2 linked regions of the Anolis sagrei genome follow. Each later gene encodes a partner of the first gene's protein in a complex. Links are inferred from orthologs where the notes say so. Each region holds a gene or a part of one and is shown in the gene's direction. Other genes may lie near its edges.

Region 1 (3,747 bases):
TCCCTCCCAATCCAACCAGTATTCAAATTTGGGCATAATGAGGTGTTTGTGTCAAATTTGGTCCAGTGAATGAAAATACATCCTGCATATCAGATTTTTTTACATTACAATTCAGAACAGTAGCAAAATTGCAGTTATGAAGTAGCAATGAGAATAATTTTCTGGTTGGGGGTCACCACAACATGAGGAACTGCATTAAGGGGTCACTGCATGAGAAAGGTTGAGAGTCCTGAGTCTGGTGAGCTTTGAAGAGCATCACCAACCCACTTCCTCGGATGTCCTGAACCTTGCTTCTATGATTGTTGATGTTCTTTCCCTCGAGATTTCCCTTTCAACCCTGCGAGCTTCCTTCCTTCCTTCCCTTCCCTTGGACTTCAGGAATTAAAAAGGAGGAGAGAAAAAAATAGCTTCCAGCCACCCGATGCCGCCTTTGCGCAATACAATCGCTGGGTGTTTTTTTCCCCCTCCTTCCCTTCTTTGCTTCTTTTTTTTTTTAAATCAAAAAGCGACAGGGTGTCTAGACGCCCACGTGATAAGAGAGGACGGGGAGAGGCGGCGAGGAGGAGGAGGAGGAGAGGATTGGAGAGGAGGAGGAGGAGGAGGAAGAGAGTGGCCCACTGCGCAGTCGGAAAGCTACCCAAAGCCAGGCGGGAGAAGGAGGAGGGGAAAGAGAGGAGGAAGAGGAAGAGAGGAGGGAGAAGAGGGGACTGGGTTGTGGGGAGGGGGCAGAAGGGACCCCAGCCCACATTAGCCCCCCTTCCCCTGTCGCCTTGGCACGAAAAAACCAGAGCCAACGCAGAGCATATCGAGCGCGCACAATCCGTGCGTAAAAGGGACTGGCGCACAAGCCGGGAGGGGGGGCACCCCTTTCCCGCCTCTCCCCCTCTTTGTAAGAACCCAAATCCAACATTGTATGGCGACCACTCCATTCTGAAAAGGCTCTTCTTTCTATCCGTGCCCGCATAAGCCTCCCAAGCGAGGTCGGCTCGAAAAAAGGAAGGGAGGAAAAGGCTGGAGAGGGAAGCGAGGCCAGGGCGCACGGCGCGCCTCCTTCTGTTGGCTTCCACTCCTTGCGCTTGAAGAAGGAGGTAGAAAGGGAGCGGAAAAAGGGCAGGAGGGAGGGAAAGGAGAGAGAGAGAGGAAGCCCGGGCCGAAGGAGAGCTCTGGGTCTCCCCCTTCTCCTCCCCCCTCCCTCCCTGTTGTGCGCGTATGTGTGTGTGTGTCTGTGCGTCGTCTCTGTGTGTGTCGACAGAGGCGCTGCTCCGGCTGGAAGGAAGGAGGGCGCAGACAGCCGTCAGAGGAAGGAGAAGGAGGCGCGGAGGGAACCGCATTGGAGAGAGAGAGAGACGCAGACACACACACACAACACACACACACAGACAGAGACAGACAGGAGGCTTGGCTGGCGACACTCTGCCCCCGCCTGTCATTCCTCGGTCCTTCCCTCCTCGCCGACTTCTTGGGCACCGCGGCGTTTCCTCTCTCTCTCTCTTCTTCGTCTTTCCTTTCCCCCTTTTCCTTTCCTTTCCTTTCCTCCCCTTCCCCCTCCAAAAAAGAGGAGATTGTGGGGGAGAACTTGGCACCGAGGAAACCTCGCTCTTGTGCCGAGGAAAGGAAGGAAGGAAGGCAAGCCTTTCCAAGAAGAAGGGGGCTGCTGGCTTTGCACGGAAAGGCGATGCTCCAGCTTTGGAGGAGGAGGAGGAGAAGCCCCCCAGTGTAGAAAAGCCCCCCTCCTCCTCTCCCTCCTCACCAAAGCCAGGCACGGATTTCTTTTTGGTCTGGATGAGAAGAAACCTCGCGATTGTGGCAGTGGATTGGTCTTAAAGACTCGCTACAAATATATATCTATTTTGCCTCGCCCTCCTTTGAGCAGGACCACATCTAGAGATTCCTTGGGAAGGATTGTGCATTGATTGAGGATCCTCCGGAGCAGCAGCGTGTGCCTTGCTGGAGAGAGGGAGACTTTCTTCTCCTCCTTTCCTGTGTTTCTTTCGCAGCCCCTTCTTTTCCTTCAGGGGCGGGGGAGGAGGAGGAGGAGGAGGAGGAGGGAACTAAGCCACGCAACTCCTCCATCCTCACTCACTTCAGAAGACGACTTGGCTCTAGGCTTGGGAGAAGAAGAGGAAGGAGAAGGAGAAGCACCCTTGGAAATACACCTTTCTTTTCTTCCTTTTCCTTCCATCCATCCGGATTGTGTTTCTTTGGAGGAGAAGCGAGCGAGGGCATGGTGTCTATCTCTTGGCTCTGACTCGGTGTGTTGTGTTGCTCTTTGAGGAGGGAAGGGAAGGCGAAAGGAAGGCCTCCCCACGAACTCCCTCGCGCTCTCTTTCTCTCCTTCCGTGGATGTAAAGGCGGCGGATTCCTTTCCGAGGCCGAGGCGGAGAGGGGCCTTTCGTGGGTCTCCCTCCCTTGTTTTTCCCCTCCCTCCTTCCCCCGTTTCTCGGCTCTCCCTCCGCGGCCCCATCATCATTTCAGGCTGCTGGCCCTGGCTGCCTGGACTCGGGCCCCGGATCCTTCATGAGTTGCGGACGGCATGCCCGCTGCTTAGCCGGGGAGCGCCCTTCTTCTCGTCCCGCATGTTCAGGACCAAACGCTCGGTGCTCGTTCGGAGACTCTGGCGGAGCCGTGCCCCGGGAGCAGCGGCGGCGGCGGCCTCAGCAGCGGCGGGAGCTGGGGGAACCGGCCACGGAGGAGGAGGAACCGGCGGAGGCAGCTCCAGCGGCGGAGGAGGCGACGAGGAAGGCGGCGGGGAGCTGGGCGAGGGCGCGCTGGATCCCCGGGCGCATGGCGGCGGCGGAGGAGGAGGGAGCCGGGTTTGCTGCCTGGGCAAAGGCGGCGGCAAGGCCCCCAAGGGCCCCCACGCGGGCGGCTCGGAGGCGGAGCTGAAGGCGCTGACCCACGCCGTGCTCAAGCGGCTGAAGGAGAAGCAGCTGGAGGCGCTGCTCCAGGCCGTGGAGTCCCGCGGCGCCACCCGCACCGCCTGCCTCCTCCTGCCCGGCAAGGGCGACGCCAAGCTGGGGCCCCACTGGTACTCCCTCCCGCTCCTCCTCGGAAAGGTCTTCCGATGGCCAGACCTCCGGCCCGGCGCCGAGCTCAAGCGCCTCCCCGCCTGCGAGTCCTACGGGAAGGCGCCCGGGCCCGAGCCCCTCTGCTGCAACCCCTTCCACCTCAGCAGGCTCTGCGAACTCGGTAGGTAGCCGGGATTGGAGGGGGGCTTGGGCAGGGGGGCGCCACTTTCGCAACCGCTTCCCCCACTCTTCCCCTCCATCTCTCTCCACTTCTTCCCCTCTTTCTTCCAGTATTTCTTTCTCAGTTTCTTCCTTCATTTCTTTATCAATTTCTTCCTCCATTGGAAGGGTATTGGAGGGGGAAAGGGGGGAGGGGGCGCCCCTTCCTCCACTGCTTCCCCCACCCTTCCTCTACTTCTTCCCCTGCTTCCCTTTCAATTTTCCCCTCTATTATCCTCTTCATTTGTTCCTTCATTTCTTTATCAATTTCCTCCATTGGAAGGGAATTGGAGGGGGAAAGGGGGGTAGGGGGCGCCCCTTCCTCCACTGTTTCCTCCACTGTTTCCTCCACTCTTCTTCTACTTCTTCCCTTGCTTCTTTCTCCATTTTTCTCTCTATTATCCTCTCCATTTCTTCCTTCATTTCTTTATCCACTTCTTTCCCCATTGGAAGGGGATCGGAGGGGGGATTGTGGAAGGGAGTGCCCCTTCCTCAACTGCTTCCCCCACTCTTCCCCTGT
Region 2 (3,747 bases), about 110 Mb from region 1:
TTGGTATTGGAGATTCCTAATCTGGGAAGGCACATCGGAACAGCAAGGTCTTCAAGTTCTTTCTGAAGACTGCCAGTGTAGGGGCCTGTCTAAGATCTTTGGGAGGGTGTTCCAGAGTCGGGGGGCCACCACAGAAAAGGCCCTGTCTTGAGTCCCCACCAAGCACGCTTGCGACGCAGGCGGAATCACGAGCAGGGCCTCTCTGGATGAGCGAAGTGAACGTGTGGGTTCATAGACGGAGATGCGGTCACGCAGGTAGGCTGGTCCCAAACCGTTTAGGGCTTTGAAGGTAAGCACTTGCACCTTAAATTGGGCTCGGAAGATAAATGGTAGCCAGTGGAGCTCCTTGAACAGGAGGGTTGACCTCTCTCTGTATGGAGCCCTGGTTAACATCCTGGCTGCTGCCCGTTGGACCAGTTGGAATTTCCGAGCCGTTTTCAAGGGCAGCCCCACGTAGAGCGCATTGCAGTAATCTAATCTAGAGGTGACCAAGGCATGGACCACCCCGGCCAGATCCCAGACACAGCCCTATATCCCAGAATATTAAAGCAGAAAACCCCTTATTATTTGAGTGTGGACTTAGATAACCCAGGCCCCTTCCACACAGCCCTGTATACCAGAATATTAAGGCAGAAAACCCCACAATATCTGCTTTGAACAGGGTTATCTGAGGGCCTTTCCACAGAGCTGAATAAAATCCCACATTTTCTACTTTGAATTGGAATATATGGCAGTGTGGACTCAAAATAACCCAGTTCAAAACAGATCCTGTGGGATTTTCTCCCTTGATATTGTGGGATATAGGACTGTGTGGATACTGTGGGCCTTGATATCATGAAATATAAGGCTGTGTGGAAGGGCCCACAGAAAAGGCAGCTCAGGACCCAATGGCAGTTCAAGCAGGGCCAAACTGCGTTAAGAATCCAGTGCAGCCTCCCAGCAGCCAGGAGGAGGCGGGGCAGGCGGTTTTACAGCGGAGACCCCCTTTGTGTGGAGGAGGGACAGCCCTCTGGCTTCCCTTCCCCGCCTTTGTTGCCCGACAAGAGGGCGGGAAGGAAGGAAAGGAAGGCAGGCAGGAAGAAAGGAAGGAAGGCGGCCTCCTCTCCTCTCCCTCCTCCTCCTCTTCTGAGGCGAGCCCTGCTCATGGCGACACTGGGCACATCCGGGCATTTCTCCCTTCGGCGGCGATTGCCGCTGCCGCCGCTGTTCCTGCTTGCTGCTGCTGCTGCTGCTGCTTCTTCCCTGAGCCGCCTCCATTAGCAGGCCTGCCTTCCCTCCTCCGCCTTCTCCTGCCTTCCTCGGGGGGAGGGGGTCATGTCCAACCCCGGGGCCCGGAGGAACGGGCCCGTCAAGCTGCGACTGACAGGTGAGAGACAGGCAGAGAAAGGGAGGGAGGAAGGGGCGCGGGGGGGGGGGGGAGAAACAGCCTTGTGCTCCTGTTCAGGCGTTACTTCAGGAAACACGGGGCCTTCCAAAGGAGAGAAGAAGGCTCACAGCGTTGGGGGGCTGGGGAAATAAAGCGGGGAAGGGGAGTGGGGGGAAGGGGAACACACACACACACACACACACACACAAGGCTTCCATGGCTTTGAGGTTGAACCTGCAGTCTCCCTCAGAAAGCCTCAAGGGAAGGCCTCAGGAGGCAGCAAGCCACTCTGGAGGCCCTTCCCCACACAGCTGAGTACAACCCCACATTATCTGCTTTGCATTGGAATATATGGCACTGTGGACTCTGGGCCCTTCCTCACAGCCATATAACCCAGAATATCAGGGCAGAAAATCCCACAGTATCTACTTTGAACTGGATTATGTGGAATATATGGCAGTGTGGACTCAGGGCCCTTCCACACACACTGCAAGATATCCCAATTCAAAGCAGATAATGTAGGGTTTTATTCCGCTGTGTGGAAGAGCCCACAGATAATCCCACAATATCTGCTTTGAACTGGAATATATGACAGTGTGGACTCTGGGTCCTTTCCCACAGCTGAATATACAATCCCACAATATCTGCTTTGAACTGGAATATATGGCAGTATGGACTCTGGGCCCTTCAACACAACTGAGTACAATTCCACAATATCTGCTTTGAACTGGAATATATGGCAGTGTGGACTCTGGGCCCTTCCACACAGACCTATAACCCACAAAATCAAGGTAGAAAACCACACAGTATCTACTTTGAACTGGGTTATCTGAGTCCACATATATCCCAGTTCAAAGCAAAAAATGTGATATTCTCTTCAGCTCTCAGGCCCCCTTCCACACAGCCATATAACTCAGAATATCAAGGCAGAAAATCCCACAATACCTGCTTTGAACTGGGTTATCTGAGGGCCCTTCCTTACAGCTGTATAAAATCCTACGTTATCAGAATTATATGGCAGTGTGGACTCTGGGCCCTTCCACAGAATCATAGAATCATAGAATCAAAGAGTTGGAAGAGACCTCATGGGCCATCCAGTCCAACCCCCTGCCAAGAAGCAGGAATATTGCATTCAAATCACCCCCGACAGATGGCCATCCAGCCTCTGCTTAAAAGCTTCCAAAGAAGGAGCCTCCACCACACTCCGGGGCAGAGAGTTCCACTGCTGAATGGCTCTCACAGTCAGAAAGTTCTTCCTAATGTTCAGATGGAATCTCCTCTCTTGTAGTTTGAAGCCATTGTTCCGCGCCCTAGTCTCCAAGGAAGCAGAAAACAAGCTTGCTCCCTCCTCCCTGTGGCTTCCTCTCACATATTTATACATGGCTATCATATCTCCTCTCAGCCTTCTCTTCTTCAGGCTAAACATGCCCAGTTCCCTAAGCCGCTCCTCATAGGGCTTGTTCTCCAGACCCTTGAGCTGAATATAATCCCACAATATCTGCTTTGAACTAGAATATATGGTAATGTGGACTCAGGGCCCTTTCCCACAGCTGATTATACAGCCCCACATTATTTACTTTGAACTGGAATATATGGCAGTGTGGACTCTGGGCCCTTCCACACAGCCATATAACCCACAATATCAAGGCATAAAATCCCATATCTGCTTTGAACTGGGCTATCTGAGGACCTTTCCTTACAGCTGTATAAAATCATACATTATCTGGATTATATGGTAGTGTGGACTCAGGGCCCTTCCACATAGCCATATAACTCATAATATCAAGGCACAATAACTCACAATATCTGCTTTGAACTGGAACATCTGAGTCCACACTGCTATATAATCCAATTCAATATGGGATTTTATACAGCTGTGTGGAAGGGGCCCCAGTTCAAAGCAGATACTGTGGAATTTTCTGCCTTGATATTCTGGATTATATGGCTGTGTAAAAGAACCCCTGATTTCATTTCCTCTCTATACAGCATAGGATTCTAAAGTATGGTCAATTTTAAAAGGAACCGGAAAGGAGGGATTCAAAACTGAAACCTCTTCGCAACTCTTTAAGGGCCCTTCTACACTGTCATATAGTCCAGATTATCAAAGCAGATAATCCATGCTATCTCCTTTGAACTGGATTATGAGTCTACACTGCCATTTAATCCAGTTCGAAGTTGATAATCTGGATTTTATATGACCGTGTAGAAAGGGTCTTAGTACACCCCATCTACACTGCAATATAATGCAGTTTGAACTGCATTATATGGTTAGTGTAGTCTCAGGTCCCTTCTACGCGGCCATATTACCCAGAATATCAAATCAGATAATCCACTTTATCTCCTTTGAACTGGATTATATGAGTCTACACTGTGAGATAATC

What was found. The genes of interacting proteins can lie anywhere in the genome.
Region 2: the proteins of SMAD7 (region 1) and SMURF2 are in contact, whole or in part, in an NMR structure (PDB 2LTZ), measured with the Homo sapiens proteins. The link is inferred for Anolis sagrei from reciprocal best matches to the Homo sapiens genes SMAD7 and SMURF2. Residues at the interface, in NP_005895.1 of Homo sapiens: Glu203, Leu204, Glu205, Ser206, Pro207, Pro208, Pro209, Tyr211, Ser212, Arg213, Tyr214, Pro215, Met216, Asp217; in NP_073576.1 of Homo sapiens: Glu304, Arg306, Asn307, Thr308, Ala309, Thr310, Arg312, Tyr314, Val316, Asp317, His318, Arg321, Thr322, Thr323, Gln324, Phe325, Thr326.

The regions. Positions count from the first base shown.
Region 1 is NC_090022.1:288,283,592-288,287,338, forward strand, and holds the start of SMAD7 (mothers against decapentaplegic homolog 7), read left to right. Parts: upstream 1-1,269; 5' UTR 1,270-2,576; coding exon 2,577-3,189; intron 3,190-3,747. UniProt on the Homo sapiens protein: Antagonist of signaling by TGF-beta (transforming growth factor) type 1 receptor superfamily members; has been shown to inhibit TGF-beta (Transforming growth factor) and activin signaling by associating with their receptors thus preventing SMAD2 access.
Region 2 is NC_090022.1:179,910,120-179,913,866, reverse strand, and holds the start of SMURF2 (E3 ubiquitin-protein ligase SMURF2), read left to right. Parts: upstream 1-851; 5' UTR 852-887; coding exon 888-1,366; intron 1,367-3,747. UniProt on the Homo sapiens protein: E3 ubiquitin-protein ligase which accepts ubiquitin from an E2 ubiquitin-conjugating enzyme in the form of a thioester and then directly transfers the ubiquitin to targeted substrates.